Linked DNA regions of Neurospora crassa OR74A. The main gene of each other region encodes a partner of the protein of the gene in region 2 in a complex. Links are inferred from orthologs where the notes say so. Each region holds a gene or a part of one and is shown on either strand. Other genes may lie near its edges.

Evidence for each region. Proteins that work in one complex are often made in the same cells at the same time.
Region 1: NCU03343 (region 2) and NCU06542 share a complex: the UniProt entries of both Saccharomyces cerevisiae proteins name them as parts of the mitochondrial small ribosomal subunit. The link is inferred for Neurospora crassa OR74A from reciprocal best matches to the Saccharomyces cerevisiae genes RSM25 and MRPS12.
Region 3: NCU03343 (region 2) and NCU02951 share a complex: the UniProt entries of both Saccharomyces cerevisiae proteins name them as parts of the mitochondrial small ribosomal subunit. The link is inferred for Neurospora crassa OR74A from reciprocal best matches to the Saccharomyces cerevisiae genes RSM25 and MRPS8.

The regions. Positions count from the first base shown.
Region 1 is NC_026504.1:1,582,940-1,588,088, reverse strand, and holds NCU06542 (putative mitochondrial 37S ribosomal protein MRPS12), read left to right. Parts: upstream 1-2,092; 5' UTR 2,093-2,235; coding exon 2,236-2,391; intron 2,392-2,546; coding exon 2,547-2,840; intron 2,841-2,974; coding exon 2,975-3,049; 3' UTR 3,050-3,230; downstream 3,231-5,149. Other genes in the region: NCU06543 (acyl-CoA dehydrogenase), read right to left, coding at 1-710, 810-901; NCU06541 (alpha-1,2 mannosyltransferase KTR1), read right to left, coding at 3,693-3,760, 3,825-4,113, 4,176-5,078. UniProt on the Saccharomyces cerevisiae protein: Component of the mitochondrial ribosome (mitoribosome), a dedicated translation machinery responsible for the synthesis of mitochondrial genome-encoded proteins, including at least some of the essential transmembrane subunits of the mitochondrial respiratory chain.
Region 2 is NC_026502.1:1,033,250-1,038,326, forward strand, and holds NCU03343 (mitochondrial 37S ribosomal protein RSM25), read right to left. Parts: upstream 3,168-5,077; 5' UTR 2,828-3,167; coding exon 2,442-2,827; intron 2,352-2,441; coding exon 2,015-2,351; 3' UTR 1,834-2,014; downstream 1-1,833. Other genes in the region: NCU03344 (hypothetical protein), read left to right, coding at 820-1,833; NCU03342 (hypothetical protein), read left to right, coding at 3,780-5,077. UniProt on the Saccharomyces cerevisiae protein: Component of the mitochondrial ribosome (mitoribosome), a dedicated translation machinery responsible for the synthesis of mitochondrial genome-encoded proteins, including at least some of the essential transmembrane subunits of the mitochondrial respiratory chain.
Region 3 is NC_026501.1:8,604,384-8,609,725, forward strand, and holds NCU02951 (mitochondrial 37S ribosomal protein MRPS8), read right to left. Parts: upstream 3,650-5,342; 5' UTR 3,215-3,649; intron 3,119-3,214; 5' UTR 2,859-3,118; coding exon 2,373-2,858; 3' UTR 1,920-2,372; downstream 1-1,919. Other genes in the region: NCU02952 (hypothetical protein), read left to right, coding at 161-1,656; NCU02950 (hypothetical protein), read left to right, coding at 4,249-4,286, 4,364-4,530, 4,598-5,342. UniProt on the Saccharomyces cerevisiae protein: Component of the mitochondrial ribosome (mitoribosome), a dedicated translation machinery responsible for the synthesis of mitochondrial genome-encoded proteins, including at least some of the essential transmembrane subunits of the mitochondrial respiratory chain.

The DNA.
Region 1 (5,149 bases), on a different chromosome or scaffold from region 2:
CCTCGACGTCGTCAAAGTTGAGCACACACGTGCTGGAGGCCTTGATGCCGAGCTTCTTCTCCTTCTTGGCGATGCTGAAGCCCTTCATGCCCTTCTCGACGATGAAGGCGGTAATACCGCGGTAGCCCTTGCTGGGGTCGACATTGGCGAAGACAATAAAGAAGTCGGCCTCCATACTGTTGGTAATCCACATCTTGCTGCCGTTGATCTTGTAGCCGTTTTCGGTCTCGACGGCGCGTGTGGCGAGGGCGAAAGCATCAGAGCCGGAGACGGGCTCGGACAAGCAGAAGGAACCGACGGTGTTGGTAGCCAGCTTGGGGAGGTACTTCTTCTTGAGCGCCTCGCTACCCCAGCGAATGACGGCGGTATTGACAAGGGTGTTGTGGACGTCAACCATGACGGATACCGAGGGGTCGATGCGGGCGAGCTCCTCAATACAAACAATGGCGGCGGTGAAGTTCATGCCGGCACCGCCGTACTCCTCGGGAATCTCGACACCCATAATACCCTGCTCGAAAAGCTGCTCGACAATGGCGGGGTCCATAGCCTCGGCCTCATCCATATCGCGGACCTTGGGAAGAATGACATCGTTGGCGAACTTCTGGACAGTCTCAGCCATGGCGGTCTCAACCTCGGAGAAGTGGGTAATGGGGGTTGGCGGCAGATCGGTTATGTCCCGGCGAGGGGAGGTGGTGGAAAGAGTGCGAGCGCTATGTCGGGAAACCAAGTATTAGCACATCGCCTTCTCCCTCTTCCAGCCCATCTCTTTTGAGACCAGACCAGGCATGAGACGAGATGACAAAACTTACCATTGGACGACGGGAGTTCTGGAGAGTCTGGGAGCGGAAACTGCCTGAGCCCTGCGGACGGCGGGACGCAAAACCCTAGTGAACGACTTCATTGTGTCTGATGCGTATGTGTGATGATTAAAGAACCGATCGGAAACCTGGCGCGAGTGCTGTCTAGGAAGAACGAAGAGGACAGAGATAATGGAAGAAAAGAAGGCGGAAAGGGTATCAAATGCTTGGGGAAGGAGAACTGGAGGTGTGATGGAACGAGCTTCGGGTACTTATAAGTCGCTGGGCACGGTACAGCGGAGCTAACACTAACGACCAGATGAAAGATGTACTTATGTAGCTCCGTAACGATGATCCGTGGAGTATTGGATGGAAGGCAACAATGACAGCGTGGGCTCAAAATAAGGTGAAGAGAGTCCCGATTTCTCTTGACCTTTGCATCGTATGCATCTCCTACACCTTCGATGTGTCTAACCTGTCACTATGCATTTGATATACAGAACAGATCATTATCGCAGAAGCCCACGCGGTATTCGAGGAGATAGGTGCGTACACCTTGATAGCAGGATACCTACGGGCAACCGGGACAAGAGCTCTACTGTTAGCTCTCTCTATCCCTCTCTCTCTCAGTAATTCAAAAGCCAAGCCAGCGGGTAACAAAGGTCAATGGCATTGGCCGGCACACGGCCGATATGCTGTGAACAGCTGGGTCAAGTGTCTCCCCCTCTGCCGAGGTAAGGTCTCCACCATTCACAAAGCTCCGAATCGGGCGGTCCTCTTAAGAGGTCATTTTCCCCACAAAGATTTCCTTGGCCGGGGTAAACGGTGGCCACGACAGGGATGCATTTGGGGGAGACACGGTAGAGACGGGACATCGGAGGAGGGGCACTCTCTCTCGAATGGACCTTGATGATGGCCGGGCACGGGGCACGGCGAGCGGTGACCATTGTTGCTAGACCGTGGATCGTGACTCGTTAATCGCGAATAGCAAACCATGGATCGTGAGCGAGAAGGGAAAACAGAGCCAGACGAGCGATAGAAATGGAATGATGAGGTGCCAACGAACGAGTTTCAGAAAACGAAGGGGAATGGAAAACAAATGCCATGTGACTGTCAGTTTGTCGAAGGCTCACAGCTAACCGATGATTGCCGCACACGACTCGGAGCTTACCCAATGGCTTCCGTCCCTCAAGCACGGCAGTAGGTACGTACCTCTGCTACCTTCTTGGCTCAGCTTATCTCCACGTGTGTCATCCCGTGACACGAAAAAAGTTCCCACACTGGTACCGCCCGCCGCCGCCGGCCCTGCGTGCGCCTGCCGGGCCCGGCCTGGGGAACCGCTATCCTGTACTGTACCGCGTCCTGTTGCGCGCCGCGACCGACCGAACTTGACGATTTCGGAGCATCCCGCCATCAGCAAGATCCACAAGATCACAAGATGGCGACGACTTTCTTGCGGAACTTGTTTTCGCAGGCGCAGCCGTCGCTGCTACGACGGCCGCTGATGCCATCGTCCTCTTCCATCCTTCCTGCTGCTGCGCGGTTGTTCTCCAGCACTCCGGCGCAGAATGCCACTCTTAACCAGGTCATGAGGGTAAGTGATGATGATGAGGCTATCCCCAACCCGCCTACCTCTACCTACCTATGCACCTATCACCACTTTGGTTCCCGTGCTACTACCACAGCCCTATGTCCCGCGTCCAATTCAATCTGATCAAAAGCTAACCACTCTTATCTTCATTCCTCCAGGGTTGCCGTAAGCCCCAACGTGCTCGCCACGCCGTCTCCCCCGCCCTGTCCTCCATCAAGTCTCCCGCGCTCAAGGGTGTATGTGTCAAAGTCGGCATCACGCGTCCCAAGAAGCCCAATTCGGGCGAACGCAAGACTGCCCGTGTCCGTCTTTCCACGGGTAAGGTCATCACGGCCTATATCCCCGGCGAGGGCCACAACATTTCGCAGCACAGCGTCGTGCTCGTGCGTGGCGGCAGAGCCCAGGATTGCCCTGGTGTGAGGTATCATCTTGTTAGAGGTGCTTTGGATTTGGTAAGTTTTTTCCTGAGAAGAAAAATCCCTAGATGGAGACCCCTGGATGGAGGATGGGAGAGAAGGAGAAAAAGGGGAAGATGAGTGTTTAGTTTGTGAAAATGATGTGCTGACAAAGAATGGTGATAAAACAGGCCGGTGTTGCTACTCGTATGTCTAGTCGTAGCAAGTACGGTACCAAGAAGCCCAAGAAGGCCTCTGTTGGTTAAGCAGCTAGCACAACAGAGCACAATTGAGATGATACCCCCCCTGGTTACATGGCAGTAGGATGATGATGATGTGATGTGAGCGTGGTGGAGGTGGTTAAGCTTCATCCATGTAGTTCATCATTCCGCATCCTAAACTATGTGTCCGTGTACTATAAGGAAATAAAAGGTGCATGACAGGATATCGGCGTCCATATTCCTTGTATTACGACTGTCGAAGACTGGCCATGTTCAAGATGATACAACACCGAAGACGAAATACTTCGGGGAAGGACGGAGACACTGGACCAACTGTGTTGCTGTCAGCTTGCCTTTTCACACCTGGCAATACCAGGGTTATCTCAGCAGTCGGTAACAACGAACCTAACCCTAAGTGATTGTGTCATGATTTCCTTAACGCCCCTTATAGCCCTTCCCTATCCATCAAAACACTCAGAACAGGCAGCTTCGTTTTTGCCCAACCTTTCCCATTTATAGGTCCATGTTTCCAGGCAATTGGGTTGTACCACCAATTGAGAACGAAAAAGTCATTATAACGATAATACATTCTAGGGAATGTCCGCTTTTGGTTTTATTTGCAGACCTGTTTTCCCAACATAAAGCCTTAATCCCCACACCCTCAGAACTGTTTCTTCTTCGCCTCCTTCTAATCCGACTGATCTTGCCAGCCTTCTGGCTTCGGAAGACCATTAAGCTCGTAGTACCTCGAAGTGCCTGATAAGTGATTGGGGTCAGTGGACGGCTCAGTAAGAGAAGGGAACTTCCGGGTAAGACTTACAAGAATACCCCTTCCAGTCAAAGTTCTCCTTGGGGTTGCAGTGGCACTTGCGGTCGAGACGGAACTGCTCTCCGGTGGGGCAGTGAGTGAAGGGAACGTGGTAGTAGGCAATGTCGTTGAAGAAGTGGATTTCCTCCTTCTTCAACATCAAGCCGGCGGCAATAGAGTGGACCGGGGCATCGCCCCAGCGCTCATAGAAGAAACCACCATCCTGATCCAGAGACTCGAAGTAGTCGGTGTAGGCCTTGGAGCGAAGCCAGTTGAGGCTACCAATCTCAAAGTTGGACCACTATAATAACATTGTTAGACTAAACTTGTCGCAAGCTGTGAATCCTCACGGAAAATACTTACAAAGTGGCACTTGTTGTAGGTCTTGCCACCATCGTCACTGAGGAAAGCCATGGAGTTGCCCTCAGCAATGTGCTCGGGGTGGTTCTTGATGAACTTGGTAACGCTGTCCCAGAGGGTCGGGATAGTCTCGAAGTACTCGTAAAGGCTGAGCACGAAGCTGTACTTCTTGTTATTCTCGTGCATGAAGCGGAAAGGATCGTAGTGGATGTCGCAGTGGAACTCGACGCTCGGCTCAACGCGCCAGTAGTAGTCGTAGTTCATCATGAGGGGCTGGCGGAAGAAGAAGCCGGACTCAAAGCGGCACATGTGGCGGTAGCTGATACTGTCACCGTAAATGATCTTGCGCTGTCTCATGTCCTCGCGAACCTTTTTGGCCTTCTCCTGGTCAATGTGAGGCGGGAACGACCAGTGCTCGGTCGGAATCTCGCCATAGTACGTCTTGCCGGACACAAGCGAGGAGGTAACCTTCTTGAAGGTTTCGTCAAATGGCTTGTCGTTGAGGAAGACCCAGTCGTAGTTGTAGCGGCGGTTGAAGCGGTCCTCGACCGAGCGGATCGACTTTGCAATTTCCCACACATCGCCGTTGCGAGCCAAGGTGACAAAGGTCGCGTTCATGCGAGGGCCGCCCTTAACCCCAGACAAGTCGTTCCAGCCCGGGTCATTCGGAGTCATGGCCAACGGGTACTGGGCAGGATCGTAGTCGGCGCCATTGCTCTTAGCGGGTGTCTTTTCATCGTGGGCGACTTCGGTGGTGCCTCCGGTGGTACTTCCGGCAGTGCTTCCGGTAGTACTTCCAGTCGATGGCTTCGAGTTTCCGGTGGATTGTTGGAATTTGCCAAAGTTATCTTTTAGGGGGGTCACGACGGATGACGGCGTAGAGATGAAGTAAAGAACGGCGATAACCTAACGTCATGGTTAGTGGGGTACCGGGAAAGCGAACAGCTACTATTGAGTGCAGAGCATTGAGCCAAGAA
Region 2 (5,077 bases):
GTGGTGAAAGGTGGTATCCATTCAAGACGGATGGAATGTGAAGATGGAACTGAAGCGACATGGGACTTTGGGGTTACTGAGTGAGGAGGAGCTCTCTCTCTTGAGGTTTCGTTGACAACAAGCATCCATGCGGTTCCCAACTTCCCGCTTTCTGCCAGGCGGTCGGTCAACTTTTTAGCGGCCTGGGCCGCCAAATGCGCCCAAATCGCAGTCACCAGTGGGGCCACCGTCGTCATTCCCTTCCGCTATTCGGCAGATCATCAGGGCCCAGGGGTGCGTGTCGGGTGTTCTCCAGGTCTCTCTTTCAGGGGTTTCAATTTGGCCCAAGCTTCCCGTCATTCATTGTCGTGCCCCGTAAAGCGACATGCACTGGCTCATTCCCGTCATGTAGCTACCTCTACAGAAACCACACCTCCATCGCCTTTTGCTCAGTGTCATTTTTTCCACATGCCTCTACGACTTAAAAGCCTTTGATCTTGATGTCATATATCACGCTTTAAATCTTGCCAGATCTAAAACACCCATTCACCTGGAGACACATGTGTCAAGTCGGCATGGGGCTTATATGAGCGAGTCTACATGTTCACCTCCAGACGGCACCAAACAAGCCTCTCCTTCTTACCCCAATTGGATGTGCCCCTTTTGTCATTGTTTATTAGCCCCTTTATTTTGGAAGGCGTGACTTCAGGAAACCTCCAAACAAAACACGTTATCAAGATTCGACGAGGTGACACCATCAAGTACCCAGACTCCATATTCAAAGAATGTGAAACTAATTATACCAATAGAATTTTGAAGAGACCTTTGGGGCTCTCTAGAATGGCCCCTACTACTTCAGCGTCCGTGCTGGCGGGCAAGGAAGAATCGCGCAATGATCAAGAGCTAAAGCCCGACACCAGAGCTGAGAGCTACTCTCAGTTACATGTTGAGACTGTGAGCGGCATCAACTTGACAGCAGCCACCTTTGTTGCGGGTGCAGCATCCTCCACCGCAGCCGGGCTTCTCCTCTCTGGTCTATCATGGCTATGGCTCATCTCCCTCGTCATCACCGTCGGGATAGTGCTTGGTACCTTTATTGTCTACCGGCACTTTGAAATGATACGCCGGCGTCAAAAGCCAGGTGGCAGCTGGCTCGTCCCCAGCAATACGCCCCAACCCAATGCCGCTGGCACACAAGTTCCCAACACCACCTCTCTTCCTGCTATTTACTTCACATATATACTTGGCTCTGGTGGACACACTGCTGAGATGATTGAGACCATCAAGCAGTCATTTCGCGGCCAGGCAAACATCCACCGGCGGTACATCATCTCCATCGGAGACACTTCCTCTCTCGGCAAGGCCCGCCTTCTGGAAGCGACTATCAAGGACGCCTATCCCGGAGAAGATGATCGAGCAGGCACCTCTGATATCTTCTTAATCCGCCGTGCGCGCAAGGTCCATCAACCGCTCTATACGGCACCCTTTACCTGCCTCATATCCGCCTTTCATGCCGCCAATGCCCTCACACGGATGCCCAACCCACGGTCAACAAAGGATCATGGAAAGGGATTCAGATACCCGCATGTGATTGTTACAAATGGGCCTGCCAACGGCTTTATTGTGTGTTTGGTGGCCCACTTGCTCAAGATATTCTACCTCGTACCCGAAAACAGGGCCAAGGTGGTGTACATCGAGACCTGGGCCAGGTCCAAGACGATGAGTCTGACGGGGAAGTTGTTTCTAAAAACGGGCATTGCCGATGTTGTCGGTGTGCAGCACGAGAGTCTGGCGAAAATATTCAAGGGCAGTCAGTATATCGGGCCGGTGTCTGCCGGGTTTCTTCGAAGATAGGCGACCAGGCTCCTGAATCACATGTACTTCTACAAAGTCTCTTGCCCTCTCTATATGTACAAAGAGACGTGATATTCTTACACTTGTGCACGAGTGGGCCGGCATCGTCTTTCCCCGACACGGATGGGTATCAGCCACGCTATACCACTCTGTCCCTCCCCTTTTACTCCAATTCGTTGCCTTAATTCTGCGCGAGCAGCTCGTCCTCCTCAGATTCCTCGAGCGCAGAGTTGTCGACGACATTGGTGTACATGGAAGCCCTGGCAGATTCCTGGCGGGCGATCTCGGTCGTAGCCCACTTCTTCCAACTCTCATACGTCTTGTTCTCGAGCTCCATGCCGACCGTCAGAAGGTCCTTGCCAAAGTAGCCACCAACCATGCGGGCCTCCTCGACGGCTATCCTGCGCTCCATCTGCTCCAACTGCCTCAACTTGTAGAACTCGTGGCGCGCCTTGTCGTAGGCTTCCTGCTTGGTCATGCCTTGATTCTCCATAAGCCAGAGCTGACGTTGAACGACACTATCGTTTGCGATTCGGGTTAGCATCCAATTTCCATGCCTGTCCGCCGGGCTTTTGCGCCATGTGCAATGCGCTCATCCAACAACGTACCTCTCGCCGGACAAGGGGATGCCGCGTTGCCTGAGGCCCTTGGACCAGTCAAGGAAACGGGCGTCCTTGCCATCCAACTCGATAATCATCCTAGGCCTGGCCAACTCCCAAGGGTGGTCGCGGTAGAAGTCGCGGCGCAACTCATCTTCGGGATAGACGATCTTGGTGGGCCTAAAGAGGTTGCGTGGCTTGCGCGCTCGCGGGTTCGGCGGAGAGTGCTGGATCGGATACGGTCTGGTGTTGATCTCAGCGGGAGGGATGGACTCGATGGCCTTGAGCCACAGTGGTGGGTTCCGTGGTGGCAGGCCAGAGACGATGTTGGTGGCAGCAGCCTCGCTGGCCCTCTGGTAGACCTTTGCGGCCTGGAAGATGCGCCCCTTGCCCATCTTGTCCGGTCGTCGCTGGCGGCGTTTGGGTGTTGTGGAGGGAATTACTGGTGATAATCGACGGCAGCGGTGGTGTTGGCTGAGATCAGAGGACCATTGGCGGATTCGGCGGTCCTTTCGTTCCTCAGGTACCCTCCCAAGGCAAAGGCAAGGCTACGAGGTTACGGGGTGTGTATACCTGTGTAAGGTAATAATAATACACTGCGCTGCGCTGCGTAGGCACAATGGATTCCCTCACCCGCCAAACCTATCGTTATCGCTATTTGCTTAGCTTTGTCCAAAGTGGAGCTGTGCCTTTTGGAGACAGGCACGATCCGACACGACCTTCAGTTGTTGCCGGTAACCCGCGCGACCTGCTGTCCTGCCTGCCGCGAGCGGGCGAGCAATTGGAAGGACGTGCCGGCAAAAAAAAAATAGTTCCCCGCCCCGCCATTAAGCGACCAAAGGGAAGGGAAGTACCTAGCTAGGTGCTTATCGATAACAGAAGTGGGGGTCTTGAGCCCGGCCGAGACTGGACCCTATTCCAGCTTCCCCTCTTTCGTAGAGGCAGGGGTGGGGTGTGCTCACGGCAAGGTACCTGGAGCTGTGCCTCGTCCATGTATTGTAGTGTACACCACTACACTACCCCAACTTTTTCTCAATCATCGCGTCGCTCACCCGACCCCAGTTTCCTGCCACATCCCTCCTCACTTCATGACTCGAGTTCTCCCCATTCTCCCCATACTTCCCCGCCCTCCACGAATCTGACGCCCTGACCACATCGACCTGAGTACGATCCAATTCGCCAGTAACCGCGATTGCATCGAGTGCCAATCGAGTGCGCAGCAGCCAGCAGCTTGTGATTGCGTCTTCTCTGAGCTCTTCTTCATCGAATTGCGGCCGACACTCGCGGGGAACAGGCAAGAAAAGGTTGGCTGAATGGGCAGGCCATCATGTTGGACGGCGGCAGCTCATGAAAGTCTCCAGCCGATTTGAAGGGTCGATATGCGGCACCATCTTCTTGCATCGTCCGTCGTGGAATTGGTCTGCCATTGCCGCCTCCGCAACCGCAATTGCTGCCACCAGTTCCGTGTCGCAAACCACAGCATCCATCCAGCTCGGTGACCAAGGCAGCGGACGAAGAAGACAGGTTGCGACAGCAGGCCTCGGCCCAGTACAACAACGACGGTGCTTCCACGGCAGCTGGAGCTCACAAAGTGGTGGCCTTGTCGATGGGGTCGCGAGGAGACCCATAGGCGGCTCCACCGGTTGCCCGCTACTGACCACCCCATCCCTGCGGGTAACTCCCACCAGTCTGTCCGGCACGAACAGCAGACGAGCACTCGACTCCAACTTCTTCCGCTATTCGGTCTCTGCTCCCCAAAAGCGGAGCCACACGGCGGCGGCGGCGGCGGCGGCAGCCCCGGTCCCTGACCCCGTTGCCGCAGCTGCCCCCGAACCCAGTGCCGATCAGAAGCCCGCCGACTCTGTCTTCTCGGCCCCATCCGCGCTACATGACGATCTATCGACCGAGTCCCACTCGGGCGCAAACCCACAATCACAAGAGCTGCCCGAATCCCACAGTGCGAAGCTCGGTCATCTCACCAAAGAAGAGCTGCTTGAACTGGTAGATCCCTATCATGATCTAGATGGAACGGTCGAAGACTACCTCAAGTTCATTCGCGATCCTTACATGCATAATTATGCGCCCGCTGATAGGCCCCGGTTCACCTTTGTACAAAATGAAGATGACTACGAGTATCCAGGCCCGGACGAAGTGGTTGGACTGGACGAATTTGGCCAACACACACTGAGCGATCTCAGGTTTGCTGTACTCGTGCGGCTGCGCACTCCACACAAGGTTGACCTTGACACGATCTACGACCTCTACCAGCAACTGCCGGAACCGCGCATGCCCTACATCAATGGTCGATTGCGACATCAGCTCCTAAAAGCATTAGGGCAGCCTCAGCGGAGAAACTCCAAGTCCATGCTGCGGTACTTCGCCGTCATAGCGGATGTGAGGAACTGCAGCATGCCCTTGACGGCAGGGGAGTGGAATTGCGCCATCTCTTTTGCAAGCCGATATGTTGGCACTGTCACCGAAACTCAGGCGCAGTCTGCCATGAGACTGTGGCGCGAGATGGAAGTCGACGCTGGCATCAAGGCGACCGAGGTAACCTTCAACATTTTGTTTGATGTGGCCTCGAAGGCTGGCAACTTCACTCTCGCTGAAATGATTTACCAAGAAATGGTCAGTCGTGGGCACTA
Region 3 (5,342 bases), on a different chromosome or scaffold from region 2:
CTTCTGTTCCGCCATCTTCCACTTCCAATTGTCGCCATTTCCATCACCTCGCTGTTTGCCTCTTCTCCAACTGCACTGGTCATCTTGGGTGTTGTTATCAACCACAACATCACACTATGCATGGACCGGACTAATAGCTAGTGTCTTTTTCAACCTCTAGCCGATTCTCCTAGGCCTTTGAACAAGATTAAAACGAGCTTCATTGCGGTTGAGAAAGGTGGAAGACTCGGGCTTCAACGAGAAGGCAGCAACGACTCCGAGACGCCCACACAACAAGCCCCAGCCGGCCCAGGCGACATCACAAGTCCTTTTGCTCCATCAGAAAAAGCCAATGCCGTTGACCAGATTATGGAGAAAACACCAGCACCGGCGAGTCCCGAGGCGAGCCGTATACCGGCCGAGTCTCCAAAAGCGAACCAAAATGCTCAGAGTCCGATACACTCTGCTCCAGAACCACGAGCACAGAATGTAGAATCTTCGGCTAGCGCATCGGCGGAATCCAAGACGTTGGAGCTAGATGGGGCTACCAGCTTATCTACTACGGAGAGTGACTCAAAGTCAGCAGAGAAGACGCAGGCACCCAATGGAGCTGGGGCTGGCAAAGACAAAGAGACAGATCCCAGCAAGCCGGCGGCGCGGACCGTCCCGAAAACAACAACAAAATCGAACCTCCCACCTCTTTCAACGTCTTCGGCCAACAAGACAGTAGCTAAGCCTGCCAAATCCCCCATCACTGCTGAAACCCCCAAGGCGCAAAACCCTACGACCGCATCCAGTCAGACTCCGGGCAAGACCGCTACCCCGAAGCCTTCGGCGGCAAAGACCACGAAACCTCTCGGTTCCTCGCTGAACAAAAAGCCAGCGTCCTTGGCCCCATCTCCTGTCATCACCGGGAGCTCCAAGCCCAAGGCCAAGTCACCTACACGCCCAGCTGCTCTCCCAGAACGCCTTACCACTCATACGGCTGCTTCTGGTTCCAAGCTCGGCAATGCGCGCGCCCAGTCGCAGACTCGCGAGCGAGGTCCTACCCCGGCTAGCCGTTCCTCTAGCAGAGCGAGAGTGCCATCCTCTACTGTGTCGGCACCGAAAACGGCCACCTCGACCCTCAAGAGACAGAACTCGACCAAGAACCGGCCTCGCCCTAGTCTAGGTGTGCCTGTGAAGCAGACCGCGAAGGATCATCCGCCAACGAAGAAGGAGAAGGAAGTGGACGAAGGTTTTTTGGCACGCATGACGCGTCCAACCGCGGCATCCGCCTCCAAGACCGCTGAGAAGGTTGTCACATCGCCACCCAGGAGGTCATCGGCCACGCCCGGACCTGCCGCGAAGAGAAGTCTCAGCAAGCCACGGACCAAAAAACCTGCCACTAAATCTGCAGCACCATCTGCGGCTACGACACCGAAACAGTCTCGTGCTGGTTCAGCTGCGGCCAAGGCTGAGCCGGTTCCCAAGGCAGAAGAAGCTGTTGAGGTGCCCCTCCCCACTGTGACGGAGACTCCTCAAGAAGTTGCTCAGCCGGTAGAGGAAGCCACGGAAGCTCCCCAAACCCCCACTTCTGACGTTCATGTTGTTAAGGAGGAGATGCCAGCCCAGGAGACTGAAGCCGCCCCCTCGTCCGCTGCCGAGGTTGTTGATACCACCGATGCTGACATCTAGGAGCACGGCGAGGAGAAGTCTGCCAGCACTTCGGAATTTAAGCACACTTCTGATTCGTAAAAGGAAGCCAGAAATGGTGGATGTGATCGCTTTTTGGCCTGTAGAGTCTTTTTTAATCACCCCTATTACTTGTTCGAGACAGTGAAAGAGGGGGATGCAGTGTTACTGGGTTAGCACATTTCATGATACCTTTGTAGAAAGACCAATCACACATTTGTAAGAAAGTTGGCGAAGCATGAAGTATGAATGCATAGCAGATAGTGGGTTGTACAGCACCCTGGAGCAGGATGAATCGATCCCTTTTCTTATCAATCTTGGTGATATCTGTTTCCACGGTGAGTGCTGATGATTTAGTTGTCATGCATAGATCATAGCATACAGGATGCCAGCTCGTTGTCTTTCTTGGCCTCATACCTCATATTCACATAGCAAGAACCAAGGATGAGCTCTGCTTTGCCAATGTCTATTCCTTTCCATGTTTGTCCAGTCTTGCTAAGTCGTCTAGTGTACAATGGAATCACATCCGTATCGTACACTGCGCACAGAAATGGTTGGCTCCAGTTCAGGTTTGAGATCCTCCCAAAGTGCGGTGACTCTTCCTCCTCTTCTTCTATTCCTCTCGCTTCCTTCCCAACAATGCCTTCCTTTCACCGAATTCATGTCCTATCCCCACCGTCCATCCTTGAGACCCTCCTCCTTCTTCTTCTTCTACCCATCTATTTTACCTTGCACAAAACCAGCCCACCAACTTTCCTCTCCACTGCCTCCCTAACCTCCAACACACCTCTATCAGTGTTCACAAACAAACACTCGCCCAACTGCAACCCCTTCATGTATCCCGCGGGAAAGCCCCTCGCCACACGGTTCAGCTGTTCCAGGGAGGCAGTCACCAGCCTCGACGGCTTCGAAATCGGCTTCAGCTCCTTCAAGACGGGTTCCTCGTTCCAGTACTTGAGTCCCACCCACAACCGGCGCGTGGCCACGTTGGCACTGGTCACGGGCTCGGGCTCGTAGGTCATGAGGGCCTCGGGCGTGGGCGGGTGAGGACCGCCCCGCGTGATGGAGGAGATGAAGCCTGCGCGGTGCAGGGCCAGGGCCAGGGCGAGGTTGTACTTGGTGTTGGGCAGGGAGGTCAGGCCCAGGCGAGCGCGCGAGGCGTTTTGGAGGTGCGAGCACATGTTGGTGATTTGTTGAATGCCCATTTTGAAGGTTTGATGATGCCCGTGTGGGACTTTTGTGTTGCTGAAGAGAGAGAGAGAAAATGGTATGCACTGGGTGATGGGTTATAAAGAGAGAGAAGTCGGCCGTCGTCGCGTAAGTCGTCGGGTCGATCGGCTGGTATGGCTTGGTCCGTCCGGTGTAGAAGTGCTCGGGAGATGCGGCGGCGAACTGGGGACCTTGCGGGATGAAGAGAAGGATGATGCGGGATGAAGAGAAGGATGATGCGGGTGAGGAATCGGTGCTGCAGCGACGGGGCGTCTTGAGGTTAGTCTAGGCGTGCCGATGAAGATTCGCGGGACAGAAAAAAAAAAAAAAAAAAAGGAAGATTGCAACGCACAACCAATCGGGAGACCGTAGCTGTTGCGCACAGTCGGGTGGCCGTCACGGGTCGGTGGTCGTGATGGAGGAATTCGGACTTCGGAGGAGCCGTAAAAACAAGTGGAGGTTTCGGGACTCGCGAATGCGGCGCGCAACGGGGTCCGGATGCGAATTGCGGTTTCGAGGTCTCGATCGGGATGGCTCCGTTAGGTAAGTTGTGCTGCCGATTTTTTGTCCCCCTGCTGCTCTGTCCGCTTCTGCCGTACGGCACTACGTACGGGCTGGCGGGCGTGCGTGCGTTTGCTTGGCCGCCGGGGCCGTGTGGAGGACGGACAGGGATGGTTCGAGAAAAGACCTCAGGCTGAGCGTTGAAAGAGTGAATGACCTCGGGCAATGACCTCCACTGTGCCTTGCACGAAAGTCACTGCAAAAGAGACCCCTGCTGCCCTGAAAGGCCTCCCGTCCCTCCGCCAGAGAGACCAGAAGGTGTCTGTCCGGTGGGGCTTTCTTGGTAGCTCTCCAGGTTTATTGAGGATGGATCCTGCTTACCCCACCTTTTTTCTTGTCTTTCCCTCCCGCTCCTTTCCCTCCTCGTCAATTGTGAAAGAAGGACTGGAGAGTGTGACAATTGACTTGCTCGTGCTTCTTTCTTGGCATCCCACCTTAAGCGCCCAGGCGGACCATCCAGTGACCATCCAGGACGATGCAACCACCAGGCAAGGTCACCTCTACCGGCACTAGGGGTCGCATCACCGACCTATCGTGCGCGCTGGTTGGATGGCTGTGTGCTGATTGCGCCATGGAGTGAGAGCCGAATGTGAAGAACCAGACCACGGTCTCCTGCAAGGGTATGTAAGAGGTAGGGTACTATCGCAAAGACGCGGAAGCCGAGTGGCTTTTGTTTTCTTTGGGTTCCGTCATCTCTGATATTAGGCGTGATAGCCCTCGGGTGGGAAGCTGAGAAAGTTTGCTGTCTTTCAGTTCTCTCAATCCTTTTTACCGTTGTTGTGTTGTTGTGTTTGTTCACTCAAGCGAGTTCGTTGATCACAAAAGATGGCCGCCCGTGAGGGAGAGGAGAACGTCGGCACGTTGTAAGTTTGTCTTCCGTTGATCCCATAAAGAGGTGATAGTTCCTGGGCGCATTCTGACTGATTGATTCGCTGCATAGCTTTGGTGATATTCACTACTTCTACGGCCCTCCAACAAATAACCCGCCTCATCACAGGTTCGACAAGGGCTCCTATGTATACCTTTTCGAAGATGCCAACTTGGGCCGCGCACGGCTGGAGATTGCGAACCAACCTGGAAGGGAAGACCAGGATGCTTTCGATGGCTGTAAGCATTAGGATTTAGAGTGAGAGCTCGAGACGACAGTGGGAAGGCTAACATCATGTGTCGCCAGACCTCGACAAAACCCATCTCGAGTACGATTACAACCACACCTGCCTTGTAACTTTGACGGTTGGCGAGGTCGAGGGCTACGAGGAGTGGCATCTACCAACATACGACCCTCACAATCAGGCCAAGTACCATTACAAGCTTCACTCGCTCGACATTTACTTTCACAACCATCAAGATGCTCTGCAATTCGTCAATGGCATCCGACGTGTGCTCCCTCCGCACCAGTGCGATGTCCACAACGAGCCAGGACCACCACCTCGGCACGATACCGAAGTCAGCGCGGTAGTCCAGCAACTCGAGAGGGCAGCAATCGCTGACCACGGTACACCCCCGACCACTTTATCACAGCCTCCGCAAGTTGGCGCAATCCAGTCTTTTGCTCCGCCGCCCATGTCTGCAGTGTCTGCTTCCCACGATCACTCGACACCATCGCCTCAAGCATTTGTTCCGATGGCCTATAACCCAGCCGCGCCACCTGCCGCCGAACCCGTACGGTACCGCGAGAAGACGCCTCCCCCAGAGGATGCCGCGGTGAACCCGTTGCACCAGACTCTGGCCTACGATGCGACCACTCCCTTCTCACCAGGCCTGCCTCCCCCCAGCGGCCGCGGACCTTTGAGCCCAGGCATTCCTCCGCCAAACCTACAGCACCCGCCTGGAGCTCCGACCTTTGCTGCTCCTCCCCAGCACAGCGTGACCTCACCCGGCTTCGCGCCCCAGGGATTCGGCGCGCTTGGAGGCGGCTA